Linked DNA regions of Drosophila melanogaster. The protein of the gene in region 2 interacts with the protein of the main gene of each other region in a pairwise test. Each region holds a gene or a part of one and is shown on either strand. Other genes may lie near its edges.

What was found.
Region 1: the proteins of Rca1 (region 2) and CG13133 interact in a two-hybrid assay, tested with the Drosophila melanogaster proteins (one large-scale study listed by BioGRID).
Region 3: the proteins of Rca1 (region 2) and SkpF interact in a two-hybrid assay, tested with the Drosophila melanogaster proteins (one large-scale study listed by BioGRID).

Annotation. Positions count from the first base shown.
Region 1 is NT_033779.5:10,089,032-10,094,976, reverse strand, and holds CG13133 (uncharacterized protein), read left to right. Parts: upstream 1-2,587; 5' UTR 2,588-2,741; coding exon 2,742-3,395; 3' UTR 3,396-3,769; downstream 3,770-5,945.
Region 2 is NT_033779.5:6,849,292-6,855,456, forward strand, and holds Rca1 (regulator of cyclin A1), read left to right. Parts: upstream 1-3,023; 5' UTR 3,024-3,130; coding exon 3,131-4,366; 3' UTR 4,367-4,575; downstream 4,576-6,165. Other genes in the region: l(2)k09022 (lethal (2) k09022), read left to right, coding at 4,955-6,123.
Region 3 is NT_033778.4:23,455,889-23,461,337, reverse strand, and holds SkpF (SKP1-related F), read left to right. Parts: upstream 1-2,578; 5' UTR 2,579-2,651; coding exon 2,652-3,167; 3' UTR 3,168-3,273; downstream 3,274-5,449. Other genes in the region: CG43795 (uncharacterized protein), read right to left, coding at 3,473-4,848.

The DNA.
Region 1 (5,945 bases), 3.2 Mb from region 2:
ATGCTTGATTTCACCGCAGGGAGATGTTCACTTGGGCAAATGCTATTTATTATCGAAATATGGCCAATACTGGCCATCTACTGATTAGTTACCACCGATGGCTATTGGCAACCAATTGGCACATTTAGACAGTTTGCTTAAGGCACGTATAAAGTAATTGTGTTTAGACTTAGATAAAGGACAATAAATATAAGTATACATATCTAGTAACATTAACTACATTTTAAGAATATGAAGTTTCGAGCTTTCGGAACACTATCAACCAATCCGTTGTGGCCAAGTGTAACGAACCTTATGTTCAGATACAGATACCTTTAAGCCCGCAAACTGAGGCGTTCGGCCGTTAATCTATTGGATTGCCAGTCGCCGAAATTGTGACCCAGTTAGCAGATGTTTATCGCAAGCGTCGTAGGCAATAACCCACTTAATGAATGCAATTATTTTCCAATCACGGCACTAAGGCATCCAAAGCTGGTTGCCAAGAGGCCCGCAACCATGGCTAACTGGCCCCAAACTCCCAAAACAGGGGTGGCTTTGATTAACATGCCTTGGCGTTCCAATTGCCATTTGAAGGCGGTAGGTACACACACACACACACACATGTGTGTAAAATAATCAATGGCCACGGTCATTAATTGCGCCCCTAATCCTGTGTCCTTTGCAATCTGGGGCGAGGATTTGCAGGACTACAAGGCCGTTGGGCTGATTAAGTGCCACAACAGTAGTAATACAATTATTGAAGCAGCGGCTAAGCAAATACTTCTCATTAAGCCAACTTCGATTGTCTTAATTGTTGGATTTTACTTTTCAAAAATATCCTTAATCGCTTGAAATAATCGAGGTCCTTTTATTGTGCAAACTACACCACTTTTTGCTTACTTAAAGCTTGCGAACACCTTTAAAGTCTGAATTGAACTGAGTTCAAGACTGAAAAGCAGCCAACAAAGATCCATTTTTCCCACATTTTATTTGCCTAACAAATTCCAGCTAATTCGATCAACAGGAGCTTGCTAAAAACTAAGCTCTGTACGTTTCTCTGACGTCTTTGGCATCGATGTGTTATGTAAAAGCGGTGCACAATTTGTAGCCAGCAAACCAATTGACCTTTTGAGGAAGGAATTTAGATTCCTGCTAATATTAGCTTAACCCTAAGCACTTGCGTAATCTATATTTGTCCCAGCGCCATGAAGTGGAAGGGCTTGACTGCCTGTCAATGCAATTTCAAACCCATCTACCCCTTGGCCCCCATCCCCTTTTGACTTTTCTGCTTTTCCCTTGGCCAAGAAAACATCGACTTTTGGCTTGGAAGCTAACGAAACTGTTGCAGTCACTTTTGGCCGTGCTCTGAAAATTTGTCAAACTTGCTTAAAAGCCAAAGCAAAAATTCAATTTCAGCAGCCATGCAGCGCGAGCAGCCAAATTGCCTGACCCCAGCAGCACCAGACATAAGTAAAATATATATCGTATATATTTTACAAATTGGCTCAACCCGGGGCAGCAGTGGTACAAAAATGGCAGCAACAAAGAGGCAACAACTGTCTTGACAACGCAACGACGATGTCGTCGTCGTCGTCTAAGGACAATGGAATACAGCTATCGAATACAGGGTGCAAATCGAGAGGAAGTGGTTGTAATTTGGTCCCACGAGCCTTAAGGATTTGGCGGGAAATTTAATCCGACGCAGCTTTCATTATCTACAGCCAATCAGAAAATTTGGTTGCTTACTTTTGCCATATTTTCCGTAAAAGATAGCACCCTGTTAACAGCTGTTTGGATAGCACTGCAGTCACACTGAAAAAAAAAACGCACTAAAAAAAGTGTATTTCAAATTTTAAAATAAGTATACAATTTTAACAAGGACTTTTGCCACTCTTCATGGAGTAGCTTTCGATTTTCATAGATATCCATGCAGTTTCTCTTAGTGCATAAGTATCCAATGTTGCTGTGGGGTCACGATTTTCATTAGTTTCATTTGCCACAATGCGTCTGCCATACTCGTCTGCCGAGTTCAGTTGCTCGGATTTGCTTTGCTCTTCCCGTGGCGGGGTGACAATGGTACAATTAGTGACACCATTCGCCATTCCTCCAGCACTCGGTTTGATTCAAAATTTTTGGCATTATCTCATAACTGGCTCAACTCGCGCTGTGTGCACTGTGCTCTCCTTGTCCCGTCTTCCGATTCCGGCTCCTTGGCGCCGCTTGTGCAATAAAAGGACGAAGCTCCGCGGCTGATTGGACTGCTGGTGGGACGGGTATTGATCAAACAGTTCGAGTTGTCGGACAAGGCTGAGACCCACTTTCCCGGGAACGCGTGTCCCACTGAAGGAACGCGATACAGTAAAATCCTGATATATGTAACTGATTGAGAGTTATCACTTAGTAAAAAGCCATTTACCTGTAGCCAACTTAATTAAAAGAATATCTTTTGGTTTACGTGCATGTTTCTAAATGATCCTTTCCTGCATCGAATTGGAGTCGCACCTACTGAAGAGTCACTGTACTTAAAAACGCCATTGAAGGTGGAACAGAAATATGCTCAGTTAGAGTGGCTTTGGTGCCAGGTACAGTTGTGCAGCTCCAAGTTCCAGCGATTACCATAACCTCATCCACTCAGTTAGCTTGTAAGAGTCGAACCGGGCGGAGGGCAACGGTTTTTTTGGCCACATAAGCCAAAAATCAACACGCTTGCTCCGTGTGTCCAACGAACCGGAGTCCGTGCATCGGGAACCGGTGGCGCAGTCATGCCCATCCACTGGGACTGGGATTGGGAGCATGATCACGAGCATGGTCACCATCACTGGCAACCGCCGCGTCGCCACTGGTCCACCGGGGAGTCCAAGTGCCGGCAGAGGCACTACTATCTCTCCCACGACCTGGACGTATGTGCGCGGGACTTTCACTTGCGGATGGACGACAGTGCCTGGTGCCATGGATCCTGTCTGGTTGGGCGAGTGGTCATAGAGACCGGCACCGAACCGGACTCCCTGGGTCGGGGCACCTTCAAGGTGGTGCTGGACGTGCACCACTTTCAGATCTCTGAGCTCACGGTGAAGGCCAAAAACAGCGACACCGTGTGCGTGGAGGGCAAGCAGGCGGATGACCGGGCGGAGAAGGGTCAGTTGTGCATCACTCGCGAGTTTACGCGATCCTACAAGCTACCACGGCACTACGATGCCACACAGGCACGGGCCACCTTCTCTGCGGACGGAATACTGATGATTACGGTGCCAGCACCACCGAAACTGGACGACGTGGAGCGCGAGATCGAGATTGAGCCCACGGGCAATTACTTTGGCAGCGTGTCCGATCCCACGGCGCCCAAGGCTATCGAGCAGGCGGATGTGGACGGCGATGGTGGAGAGGCTAATCCTGCTGGCACGGCGATGGACAAATGAAGCCGGCGACGTCTGGCGGTTGCGCGGCGGTTCCGCTTGCTCATACCAAAGTGGAGGCGGAAGTCCAAATGCGTTTAGGCCGCCAGAGGCAGTCGATCGGTTGGAGGGCAGTTGCAGTATATCAGACGGAGAGACAGTCGAAGCACATTCCAGTCACCTGGCGCACATGCACGTTGGAGTTTTTCGTGGAAACCAAAATCACTCGGATTGTTCCTGGGTTCCAGCTTAGATAGCACGTAGTCCTTCGTTCGAAACGTGAGCAAATATGGCGAAGTCAACATTTTGTAGAATTTTCTTAAGGTAGCTTCAATATAACGTTTAAGAGTTCATATCCGCTTGTGATTTTGTTTAACGCCAATAAAGGACTTTATCAGAAAACAGGAGAGTTTTGAATATTTCCAGATTTTTCGAAGAAATAATTTAACACCTTTAATCTTATCATTTATTTAAACGGTATTCTGTTTTATTTTGTACTGTATTTTGCAATGGCTGTTCATTTTCTTCGAGCTTAATTATTAAATATAATGAAGATGAACATTTCACTGGAAAATATATTTACATTTAATGAATTCTAAATCAAATCGGATCAAGGTATTTAAAGATAACAATGTTTCATTCCACCAAGTTGTTATTTCAAGTACAATCCGAATGAAAATATCCTCCAGCTAATCGGGAAAACAAACCCAAATCAGGGATAAATCATGCCTCTGGGAAAACTTCAGCTCGAATTCAAAACCCAAGCGAATTGGATTTCTCGCTGCTTTTAACTTTCCTGTCACGCAGCTTTTGATTAGCGTCAAATTTGAATAAAATTCACTAACACCTTTTGTGTTTTTCTTGTCTGTGTTCGTATCCTCGGGCACATGGCCCATAAAAAGACAATAAAGAAACCCAGCTAGTCAGCTAGAAGTGTATAATAGACGTAGGCATACGTACATATGTATTTTAGTTTGGCTATCGACCCAAGAAAATTCTAAAAAAAAGGGAATAAAACATAGCTACAAAGCTCTTTTCAAAAGCTATGAGATACATGAAAAGATTTGCAATTAAATGTCAGATGAAATGATTTACTATCTGCAGAATAAGTTTAAAAATAGTTGGGTAACAATCTTAAGCTCCAACATATTTTGCACCAAAAAAATAAAAGGCTGGGCACTTTGGGGCGTGTGACCCACTTCATAAGAACCCAATCAAGCCTTCGACCTTCTCCCAAAATCGTGGGCTACTGCTCCGTTTTTGATTCGGTCTTGGTCCCTTGCAATTTAGCCGTTGAGACACGTTTTCCCGTTACGATTCTAATGAAATTTGCTACATCTTGAAGTGAATTGTTGCAGGCCGCAGCGCGGCAGCTGAAAAAATTGCCAATTGAGGAGACGAGGTCGCGTACACTTTGTCATCGTTTTGTTTTTATGCGTAGTTGCGTTTAATAAAGTTTTTATATGGCGCCCTCGACTAAGAGGGGAATCCCCGAACGTAGTGCCCATCCTGTCGGATGCCCGGACGGACTGCCTGTTTTCTAATCTAGTTACGATGCCTGCAGCTTTAAGATATTGGTCGGGGGACTCACTTTCCGGGCCGTAGGATATTCATATATTTACGAGTATGGCGAAGGACGCGCGATAAAATATTCAGCAGAAAAGCAACTTCACAATTTCAATTTCCCATGCCATATTGGTGACGGCGGGGACAAACCAAAATAACACAACGATAATAAACACCTACACACCCATTTTATGAACTCATAAAACACTCCGATGGAATCGGAATCGTATATTTTATATATATATATATATTGTGCGTGTGTCCGTGCTTAAATAACTGGATGAGGCCTACAGCCTTGTTGTCCATAAAAACGCACCCATATGCACCTCTTCCGCTCCCGGGATCTAGAGAAAACATTGACCATCATCGACCATCGCCATGGGCCATTTCCATTGTTGTTTCATGGTTTTTATATTTCCCGGTTCGCGACTCCGCAGAAATCGGTATGCGGCTCACAACTAATTTTTATTTTCTATGCCCTTTGATCCACTGCGGGCGCCGATTGGAATGTTCTGCTGGCAACTTTTCAATCACACACTACCACTACTAATCAAATATCCCCGGGGATTAGCCAACTTGTAGATGAGTTGACGGTGTGCGTGAAGGACGGGACACCTAATTACGCAAATTGATGCGACATTAGACGGTAACGGAGCTGGAAACTGGAGCTCTCTAGGGGGATAGAATACTGAAGGACTTGTTTCCGCCAGGGGATCTTAGACGCCGACTGTATTGACATGTAGGAATATATAAACAAACATTTCGCATGCCGAGTTGATTTAATGGTAAATTGAAGCTTAAACATTTAACGGTGTCCTTTTCTATCCTTTTATCAAAGTGCAATTTGTGAATGAGCATAGTAACAACTTAAAGTTATTTTATACTTGCTTTAAAAGCTAGCTAATACCCATAAAGTGGTTTCAAGTATAGCACCTGCCTTTGTTTCGATCATTTGCCCATGTATCGAACTATTCGTGAATAGTGCTAAGTGGGCATTACTGGCTGGAA
Region 2 (6,165 bases):
CAACTCAATTTTAACAAGTTAACAACCTACGAAAGGGTAGCAAGAATGAGTACTCATATACTTATAAACCCACCGCCGAAATCAAACACAATCAAGCGAATTGGGTTCCGTTCCAGTTTGAGTTCCAGTTCGGGTTACTTTGCTTGCACAGCCATTTGAGTTTGTCCGTTCGTTTGGTTAAAAATAATCCGACCACTTCGCGTGGCCGCAAGGACACCCAGGATGGCCTCCCACCGCGGTAAACATCGTTTGTCAAATGCTCCGACTGCCCCGTCCAGCTCCAAGCCACGACAACTCACAATGCCATCCTGGCCAGCTCCATCTCCAACTCCACCCCATCCTCCATCCTCCACCTTCAGTTCCAGTTGCAGTGTGTCCAGTGTGGATGGGTGACTTCCTTCCTTGGTCGAAGGACTTACGTGAGTCGCGGCCGTGCGATAAAATAACCGGTTACAAAATATTTGTTGACATTCCGCGGTAAATTACCATAATTAGTTGATTCGAGCGACCGACCCATGTTTGATCGGGCTGTCATGGGTTAAAGCACCAATGGAGTGGAATGGGTGTGCGTGCAGCGACATAATGCCAAAACAGGGCACTGCCCACTGCCAAAAGGATAATAATTAGAGCATATGTACGGATTGAGTGCAAATATTGACAGGAGCTGCCCTTCCTTTCCCCCATTTGTCATCATTCCGGGTCGTTCTGGTGCGTAAACTCAAATTAATCAGCCGCATATCAATATCCGTGCAAACATAGCTCCACATCAAAACATATGTATGCATATATGCGCTACATATGTCGCGACCTTTTGGACATGGATTTGCCTTGCCTCAAGGATTTTCCCTCAGCCATAAGGAATTGTGTTCTGTTGACAGTAGTTTTTGGGGTGAAGGTTAGTTAGCATTCTCGAAGCAGGACAAGGCAAATAGATTCATGGTATGGTAAAGTCGCGATTTGTACAGGAAGTAATGTAAGTCCTTAAAGTAAAGTCAAGGAAATGAGTTGAGACTTATTTTTGAAAACAATATTTATGAGTGCAAGAGCACTACTTCATTATTCAACCAACAACATATTATTTCTAGCAAATCTTGTAATATTTTATATAATACTTTAAATATCATTGCAGTTATCTTCTATATACACCTAAGATAAATCAATGCCTAGCACATATCCCTAGTTCGACTCATTCGGCTCCCATTGACAAAGTCATTAGTTAACATCCCTCTGATCTCAAAGCAAACAGGGTGACCACGACTTCCCAGGACCGAACCAAATGAACCACAGATTAATCCCAAAGCCACGACGACAATTAATATGCTGCCATATCCACGCCCGAAAAAAAAAAAAGATGGGCAAACCGGTCAGTGGAAAAGAGATTAGAACAGTCAAATGACTTTAAATTAAGCCGATGTGCGTCTGTCCGTCGATTTAATTAAAATCAAAACAAAATCTTTGCCCGCCGACACGCCCCTTTTGGTGGCAGCAAATAGACAAATAATAAAACCATAAATAATGCAAAACAATAAACGAGCAAGTATTCATAAATTATTAACGCAGAAGCTGCTGGCCGACAAAAGGCAGCGCAAATACCCAAAATATTTTGCCAAAGCATTTAGAAGGACAATGAGGCACGAACCAGATGACAGAATCCGGGGTAGAATAGCAAATCCCCGCAGCAAATAATTGAGCCTCATAAAGGAAATATCATTCATTGATTTTCCCCCGGCAACCACAACAGATTCTCGACCTCTCATCTTTCCCAGCAAGTGGATGAAGTCGTCGGGCGGTTGCAAATGGTCCTTGGAATGGGAATGGGCACGAGCATGGGTTGGCCAGTGGTGGTGGGTCATGGGGCTTCATTTAGCTGACTCTATGGACAGCTGACGAAACTATCCACCTAGCGGCGAAGGAAGACTTTCACATGAATCCCAAATCTATGCCCCGTCATGATTTGCACAAAAAACTTGAGCTGGCAAATTTGTCAGTGGGCACAAAGGACGCGGCAAAGAAGAAGATGAGGGAAGCGGAACGGAAAAAATCTAAGGACGAGTCAGGGAGAACAAATGATAAATTATTGAGGGATTTTCGTTAATTTGATGACACTGATGATGGCCAAGGCCAGATTATCCTGACTGCCGAATTTTGATTGGGCCAAACAGGGAACAGAAGACATATCTCATAAAATAATTTGTAATGATTTCAATTTTAATAGATATAGATATACTTATGTTCGATTAAAATCTTTTTGTTATAGGCGTAGAAATTTAAATAGCACCATATGTCAGCTAATCGAGAGTATTTTTATAAGCTTATCAACATAATTTTACCAATGTCTTCAAAGCTAAGACGATGAAATACACTTTTAATATATATAATATAATATAATAATATAATATAATATAATAATATAATAATAATATATAAGATGTTAAACGGAATCCCGTTTTTATAAAGTGAATGTTTTCAAACTATTACTTATTTCCATATTTAATAAGTGAAAGTTTTCTATTTTCGAATTGGTATTAAAGCAATAAGCTGAGTATATAGGTATTTATTTTATACTTATGGCGTAAGGCATGGAAATATAATTTATTGAAAGTCAAATTCTTGGTGTTTTTAACTTAATGAACTGATTATACATATTATTTATCACTCTTATTCTTTATTTTACTTCTTTTTTCGAGAGCATTAGTCGCAAGTGCGTCTTCGCTAGCTTTGGAATGTGTACTCGCTAATATGGAAGTATGTACACACTGCATAGAATGAAAAAACGCTATCTTATTCCAGAACCTCAAATCTTGTACAGCTTGAACTCTTTTAGACATGTTTATAAATGGCTGAAGTTGCTTATGTTAATAGGAGTCTACGATTAACTGTCAGATTCCAATAATCCGATCAAGTGGCATCTTTTAATGCACAAGTTTAAATGGTTTGCCTAACAGTCACGATAATATATATCAAATGGTTGGCAACGCGATACGTAGCATTCTGAGTTGACCCGACAATGAACTGGTATCTATTTAGTAGCCAGTTAGTATTTTATTGGGGCGGTCACACTGATCCGTACCCAAAAACAATCAACCGATGCGAAAAGCATAACAATTCGAAAGTTTAAAATTCGGTCAAGATGAGCGCCTATTATCGGCGCGCGGCGTTGCGGAAGAAGAGCCCAAGCCGAGGGTCATCCTTCGAGTTGGAGATGAACGAGTCTGGCTACACATCCTTCCTGGCGCTGCACAATTCCACCGCGGAGACGCCATTTTTATTGGAGGACGCTGAGGGCGAAAACTGTCGCAATGCATCGAATACCACAACATTCTTTCGGGGGCTGAACACGCCCAGTGGCCACCAGGAGCAGGACCTTTACTGGGGCAAGCCCTATCCCAGAACACAGCCCCAAAAGAAATTTTCCGCGGAGGAGGAGCCTTTCTCTATGACTCCGCGTCTGCAGGATGAGCATAGTCTGCCCAAGCGACGCAAGAAACACTTTCAATCGCCACACAGTAGCCCCAAGAAGTCCAAAAAGCTGCTCTTTCCCCACATAGAAGAACCGCCCAAGAATCGCTTCTACGGCGGTGTCGAAAAGCTGGATATCGTGGCCAAGCTGGCGCAATGGCAACCGGCACTGCAGTGCATACTGCGTCATGTGGGCGCCCACACGCTGGACGTGATGACCAAGGTATCGCCGGCCTGGAAGCAGGCTGTTTATCGCAGCCAACGCGACTTGGAGCGCCTACAGAACCACCGACTCAAATTGAATCTAACCAAAGAGAATCCTCACGTGCCCAAGCGGTGCAGCCATGTGCCCAAGGCAAACCACACAGTGCCATTGCAGACCTCGAACCATAGCAGCCTGGCCAACAGCGCCGCCTCGCTAATGGACTCGGGCAACTCGAGCATCCACCTGATGGACGTGGATGCCGGAAGGGTGCTGCGCGAGCAGACGCAGCGCGTCAAGTGTCCGCGATGCGGTCGAGGCAGCCGGGTTTTCATAAGCGAGGCGGCCAAGTGTGGCGAAAACCTATTGTCGCAAACTCTGCCTATTGGACGTACAACCAGCACATTCCCCTGCATGACGGGTCCGCCTCTCAAACGCTTCCTGTCCCTGGATCTTGACGAGGTCAGGACTTCACCGCAAGGACCGCCATATAACTTCGCCGAATGCACCAGTGTCATCTGCCAGTTTCGGTTCTGCGTCAACTGTCTGTGCAAGTCGCATCCCGGCGAGCGTTGCCTGGTCACCGAACTGGACACACCATCCAAACTGATGATGCCACGGGAGCGACTGACGCCGCCACAACGTGCCCAGAACCGTGATCCGAAAATCACAAGGAAGAACTCGCTCAAGCGGCTCTGCTTTTAGCTTTATCATAGGCTTTTAACTATTACGATTAGTATTCGATTTTTTTAAATCTCATTAATTTCGTATTATGTCCATCGCATTAAGTTCCATTTCATCACGTACATTCATATATATGTTTTTAAATCGTTCCATGTAAGGTTTGTCGGAATTCTGTACCTCTGCGAGATTAAGTATTTTTTACACATGCAAAATATATAAATCATTTTTAGAACTATAATTGTTATAATTATAACTGGGGGAAAGTGATTCCTGTTTATTAACATGTAAGGCTTTGTTATTATACATCATTATAACAGGCTTCAAAGGCAGCCTTAATATGTTAGGCAAGTCTTAAAAATATTTTATTATTATTGATTGCATTGCATAAAATAAATTCAAACAGAAAATGTTTAAAATCAGCTGTAGTATACTGGTTTGGGTCTTGGCTAACGCCAATGCGCGCTATTTACCGTAAGCTACTTTGTGTACTGCCAAGAGATCTTTGGCCACACCAACAAAACACGTGTGGAGTGCGGTTGCCGCACATTTATTGTTCTCCGTTTTTACCTTTAATTAACTTGAGAAAAAAGGAAAAAACGATCATCCAAAATGAGTACTGCGTTGGCACAGCAGCTGCAGAAACTGGCTGCGCCGCAGTCGTCGGTAACTTTGGCAGATGCACGAAGTCGCGCCTCCATACTCTTCGATCCCAAGGAGGCGGCCACCAAGGATCGGCGGTCCATTTATGAGATCGGGTTAACGGGACTGCAGGAGCTGACCGACTTTAATCCGGCCTTCAAGGAGTTCCAGCTAACGTTGTTCGATGAGGCCACATTGACGCTGGAGCGTTCCGTGGAGCTGCCGGAGATTAACAAGATGCTGGACGCGGCCATTGCAAAGTTTCTGCGCCTTCTTTCGCCGTACCTTCTGCTCCGCCCCGCACACATGGCCTTCGAATGGTTGCTGCGACGATTCCAGGTTCACGAGTATAACCGTAGCGAAGTTATGGCCCTGATTCTGCCCTATCACGAGACAATGATCTTTGTCCAGATCGTTAAGACCATGAGGCTCCGGTCATCGGATGGCGACTGGTACTGGCTGCGCCCGTTGCAGCGTCCTGGCGTTCCGCTAGCCAAGACTGCTATTATTAACAGAGCCGCCAGCAATCCCGCCTTCCTCGGCTTCATCTGCCAAAGTACCCAGAAGGCGGTTAAGGAACTGGGTCCTCGAGCCCACCAACTGCAAGCCCAGATCAACTTCTATGCCACCGTCGTAGTTGGCGCCCTGCAAACGGCCAAACCACTGCAGGACTGGCACATCACCACTATTCTGGAGTCGCTGCTTCGTGGCCTGATTTCCGATAATATCGACTTTATGGCGGCCGCCTATGTGATCGTTGCTCAGCTTGTTTCCCGCACCAAGCTCAAGAGCAAGGTGTGCAATGCCCTGCTGGAACGCGTGGCCAACTGCCCGTTTGAGAGGCTTCACAGTGAGTCGCTGCTCCTGCTTGTCTGCATCTATGGCAAACAGCAAGCCGCATTGCCGCACTTTAAGCCGGAAACCATACTCAATCTGGTTGGGAAGAAGTGGCTTATCTCCACTCTGTCCTCCCTGGCCAAAGGCAACATCGCCATCCAGTCTATCTGCATGCCACTCATGACCGGAGCCGTGGCCGCCATTCGGGACGATGACGCCTCTTCTAACTCATGCAAACTGTTCTTGGACAACCTGCTGTCAGAGGTGCCAATGCCAAAGCCGACTGCTCAGCAACTGATCAAGTGAGTACTAGAAGTATCGATCGAAAATAATAAAAATAAGAG
Region 3 (5,449 bases), on a different chromosome or scaffold from region 2:
ACTCAATTTCGAAACATGAAAAAAATGGCGGCAGCAGGTCCTTCGCATGATTCTCACCTTCTCTCTGCGCGACGACAACACATTTAAGTACTTAAAAGTTTTCCGATTCCATCCGCCACATTGCCACACTGCCACACCGCCACACTGCCACACTGCCACACTGCCACACTGCCACAATTTTCCTTTCCCCTCAGCGCTTTTGTGTCGTGTGTGTGTGCGCGACGAGCTAAAGTCGCTTTTCCTTTCTGTTTGCCGTCTGCACTTTGGCGGCGTGAACGGAAACTAACGAAAAGTGGCCAAGGCAAGAAAACAATTGAAGCTCGTAATTTCAACTTGAATTGATATTGTTTTTCCTGACTGCCATTTAGCCCGCCCCCTGGGCTCACCTTCTGCTCCTGCCGCCCGTTGTTTTCCTTAAATGTTATCCTTGTTTTTGTTTGCGCAACAAAGTAAACGGGAAATGCCCAAACCAAAAAGCGAGCGGCAACACGGAACAGGATCCCTTGCTGGCAGGGCGATAACAATGTATCACAAAACAATAACTTCAATTAGTATCTATCTGTGTAGCGCTTTCCCTGTGATTTCCCTTTGCTTTCCTCCTTCGAGTTTCCCTTTTTCCGCTGAAGGAAAAGTTTCCGGCCATCCTTGATTATGTTAACACAAGGAAAACTGATTAATACGGGTCCTGATTAGCCGCCATCCCTCCTGCAATTATGAACCAGTATCTGGGCAATCCATTGGATTTATGGATGTCGAGCTGGATAAATCAAGGAAGTGGAGTTCAGTCCCAGAGGCCACATTCCCCGCTGAACAAATAATGAAAACAAATGCCTGGCATATGACACTAAATGCAATAATGTTGATCCCGTGCCAGATCCGTGGCCGTTTGCAATTTAATTTATTGACAGTGAGTCTTTGACATTTTATTGCTCCCCAGGCCAAGTTACGACATTGTCCGCATTTCCCATTTTTCTCTCCTTTTCCCGCCTTTCCTCGCTATCGACCGACCTTTCCCCTCTGTCACTTAATTTGTCGAGCTGCTAGTCGTTTGGGTTAATTGTTTATTTGTGCGTTTTATTGACAAGCGGCAATCGTTCCTTGGATTCATCAGCTTGTAGTCCTGTCGTCCTTTCTGTGCGGCTTTTAACAAATGAGTTTTTCGTTAACAAATGGCTTTGATTTCCTGGCTCAATCAGCGCACAAAAAGTTGTCATCTAAGCTGGAAAATTATGTCATCGGAATTTGGTGACCATCGACGGTTGGACGATATCCAATGGCCTGTTGCACGAAGCCAGCCACACACCCACGTTGCCCTCGTTTTGGCTCAGAAAAAGTTTGCTTTTTTGCTGATTTCTCTATTGCTATTTGCCACAAAGACACTCAAGAAAAACAGAAGGACATAAATTCCAGGTCTAATGTCTGCACGGAGCACATCCCCATCGGCATTGACACATACGATGCGTGCATGCAGGCAAGGACATTCGTACACTTGGACTTTGGACTTTGGACATTGGAACACACAGGACTTTGGAGTCCGTAACTTTGGTGCTCGGACTTCATACCCAGATATGCGAAATCTGAAGAAACTTTGTGTTTATTGTGCCTGGCTGCTGAACAGAGAGAGAGAGAGCTGCCGAAGAAAAGAAGAGCTCAGAAAACATGGGAGCTGGGCTGGCATGTCCTTGGGATTGTCACTGGGGCGGTTATCCTGATACACGATACACTGCCAAATCGATGATGGAAGCGGAATGGACACGAGTAAACAATGAGCACACACATCAGATTGGTCAGCTTGCTCCGTTTGGCCAGCCTGGACAGCTGGAAATTCCAAGAAAAACCAAATGAATTGCCATCGCTTTGGTTGTCCAGGTAAATCAATGTCCTCCGCCAGCTGGCCTTCCGTTTTGGCCACAAGAATGGTGCAAACTTTTTGCTCGGCACGCCTGCCACGCTAAGTAATTGAACTTTTATCAAAAAATTGCACGCAGCCAGGCGGACGGAAAAATCGAAGGAAAATCGCAGGGAAAGCGATGGTAGTTCTGCCAACTATGGCCAACAAGCGACGAGAGCCACCGCAACAAGAAAAGCACATTATGCTCCTTGTTGACAAAGGACACGGGCCAATCTAGATGAGCAGAAAATGGCGAGTATCTGCTGCAAAGTGAACCCCGAGCAATGAGCGATGGTGAATTGAAAAGGGAAAATGGAGGCCAAATCCCTGGTTTTGTTTTTATTTCCGTATTCGAAATGGGCCCTAAATATTTCATATTTTTCTGTTATAACAAACAGCAATAAATTGTGCTGCAATTGAAATGTCCATTGTGTAGAACATGGTAAATACCATTGTAAGCGGCAATCAACTATTACTTATACAACAATAAATATGTTATGAAACTAAAATTGTGTATTTCTGCCAATATCTAATCGATTTTGCTCGTTATATTGAAATAAAAATGTTGTCTAAATTGTTAATAAATGCTATCTCCATTCCATGGACATTTGTTTGAATTTGATGAATCACCAATTTGTTTCCATTACGAATCTGTTCTGTTTAATTTTTAACTGTCAAGTTGGCACTGACAGATTTTCTTGAAAAGTTGAACTGTACCAGATAACCTTAAAGGAAAACCCTTTGTGGGCGAAAACGGACCATGCCAGTCATCAAATTGCAGTCCTCCGATGGCGAAATTTTCGAGACCGACATCGAGACTGCCAAGTGCTCGAGCACCATTAAGACCCTATTGGAGGATTGTCCAGTGGAAGCGGAGAACGACACTCTTATCCCGCTGCCCAATGTGAACTCGACGATCCTGAAGAAGGTCCTCATTTGGGCCAAGCATCATCGCGAGGACATTGCAGAGGAGAACGAAGAGGAAGCGGCCAAGTCCGTCGCTGTGCAGATCACCCCCTGGGACGCCGAGTTCCTGTCCATGGATCAGGGCACGCTCTTCGAACTCATCTTGGCGGCCAACTACCTGGACATTCCCAATCTGCTGAACGCCGCCTGCATGACGGTGGCCAACATGATTAAAGGCCGCACGACGGAGGAGATTCGCCAGACCTTTCACATAACCAACGATTTCTCGCCCTCCGAGGAGGATTTGATGACGATGGAGTCGGAAGTCCCGCAGGAGGACGAGGCGATAGAGTACGGCGAAATTATATAAATTCGAAGTGAACATTTTCGAAGGATTGATGCCTGTTCCGGATTAGAATGTAACTCGACATCCTTACCTATGCTCACAAAATATCACATAAATATCCTTCATATGTATCTTGACCCTCGAATGACCTTCAGGGAAAGCACACTACTTTCTTGACCGCAATTGTTCAGTACGGATTCCATTTCCATTTCCATTTTCACTTGCATTCGCCAACCGTCTGGCCGAAAACTTTCGATTGGAAAAGTTTGGCATGTGAATATGATGTGGGCTGAGTAACTCGGAAAACTTTGTCCGTGACATCCACTCACCTGGTCAGCATATTGGCGCGATTGACGGCCACCTCGGCCTCCACCCGGAACCTGTCCTGAGCATACCGGTCGACCACGCCCTCGCCCAGATTGAGCGAAGTACCAGCCACGCAGTTGGAGCCCATCAGATGCTGCTGCTCGATATACTGCAGGAACTTGGACACCAGATCGATCTTGCTGTCCCGCGCGTTAATCACGTCGGCGGTAAACTGGTTGGACTCCATGTTGTCGCCGGAATCCTCCTCCACATCGCCAATGACCAGCTGCTTGGTCTTGTCATCGACTTGCGCATCCGGCGGATAGCCGTCGTCCATGGTGACCTCGGAGGTGTCCAGTCCCGCCTCGGAATCGGAGTCGCCATCGCTGTCGAAGCTGATCTGCTTGACCTCCATGCTGGCCGCCTGGGATCTGGCCTCCGCCTCCGGTTCCCGCTGAGCCCCATCGTCCATCCATTCGGTGGTGGCGAGGCTTTCGTTGAGCGGCAGCAGCTTGCCAAATGGTTGACCCTCCTCCTCCTCCTCGTCCTCCTGCGCGTTGTCCAGGGCATTAGAGTCGTAATCCGATTCCGGGGGGGAGTCCCGCGATATGGTGCCCATTCGCTGCCAAGTGCCATTCACCGGCAGCAGGCGGGTACTGGCGATTTTGGGCTTGATGGTGGTGGACATTGGAGCCTCCTCCTCCTCCTCATCGAGCTCCTCGTCGTCGTCGATAGTATCATCATCGTCCTCCTGGTAATTGGCCTCATCACGCACAAATTGGCGTGCCTGTTTGACACCAATATCCGGATCACCTGTTGGGGCCGCCGTCACGAATGAGCTCTCCAGCTCAATCTCATCCGCTAGCTGCATGACCTCGCTGAGAGCCGTATCCTCGGCGTCCTCGCTGGCAGGACGACCCTGCAGGTGCTCGGCCTCGGCCAAACTGCGGTGATTCTTCGGCGTATGGCGGAGGCCCAGACTTTTGTCCACACTTTTGCGTATGCTCTCGTTGATTTTCTTCTTGTGCAATTTGCGGATTTTGTGCGTGACGGGAGCCGGCGAGGTCCCACCCACACCCGGCAGCTGTGTGGGCGGGATCAGGGTGAGGCGTGTGGTCCCACCGCCACTCCCAATGCCGCTACTGCTGCTACTGTTTGTGCTGCCATGAAGGAAATGCGACCGAGAGCGCCCGTGGCGAATGTTGAAGCTGTCGCCTGTCATCAGGGCATCCGCTTCCGCCTTGATGCGGTTCCGTGGCGCTGGGGATCCAGGTCCCGCTGCTCCTTCTGCTCCGACTGCCTCTGGCTCTGAATCCAACTGCGCGTGACCTTGCATCGCCCACAAGCCCATCGCAAACAGCAGCTGCACAGCCTGCGGCATCCGCACCCACATCCGCATCCTGGGGCTCGGGGCTCTAGTTTTTTTTTTTTTTTTTCGGGACGCTTTGAGTGCACCCCTATATCGCTTAGTTGCTCGCCTTGATTGGCTGATCAGCACTTTGTGTGTTGCGGTTATCGATTCGCAGGGACTGCTGCTGCCGTTGCTCAGCTACCTTTTGCCATTTTCAGTTGTCAAAGGCCAGGACGAGTACATAACGCATCCGCACCGTGCCCCGCCGCTGATTTGGGCGGATGGTCAGGGCGCCACCGCCCATTTCACCGCTCCACCCACGCGCTCTCCTTGTGTCCGCCTTTTCGGGGAAACGCTGAAACGGAAGGAGAAAATCCAATGATTAGCCCCGGACAGTCAGGAATACGATGAATGGTGATGAACTCGATGGGATGAGTTCGGAAATTACGGCAACGAAAAAAGTGGGAGACAAAATATACAGGAAAAAAATCAATAGTAAAATCAAAGCTCTCGTCCATGCTGTTACCTAAGTGTACAAATCTAATGTTTTAAACAGGATTTGCCCACATAATTTAGATTAATAAAGTATTTAAATATATCAATTTGATTTTGAGGCGTCTTTAAATGGTTTAAAACTACAGAGTACCCA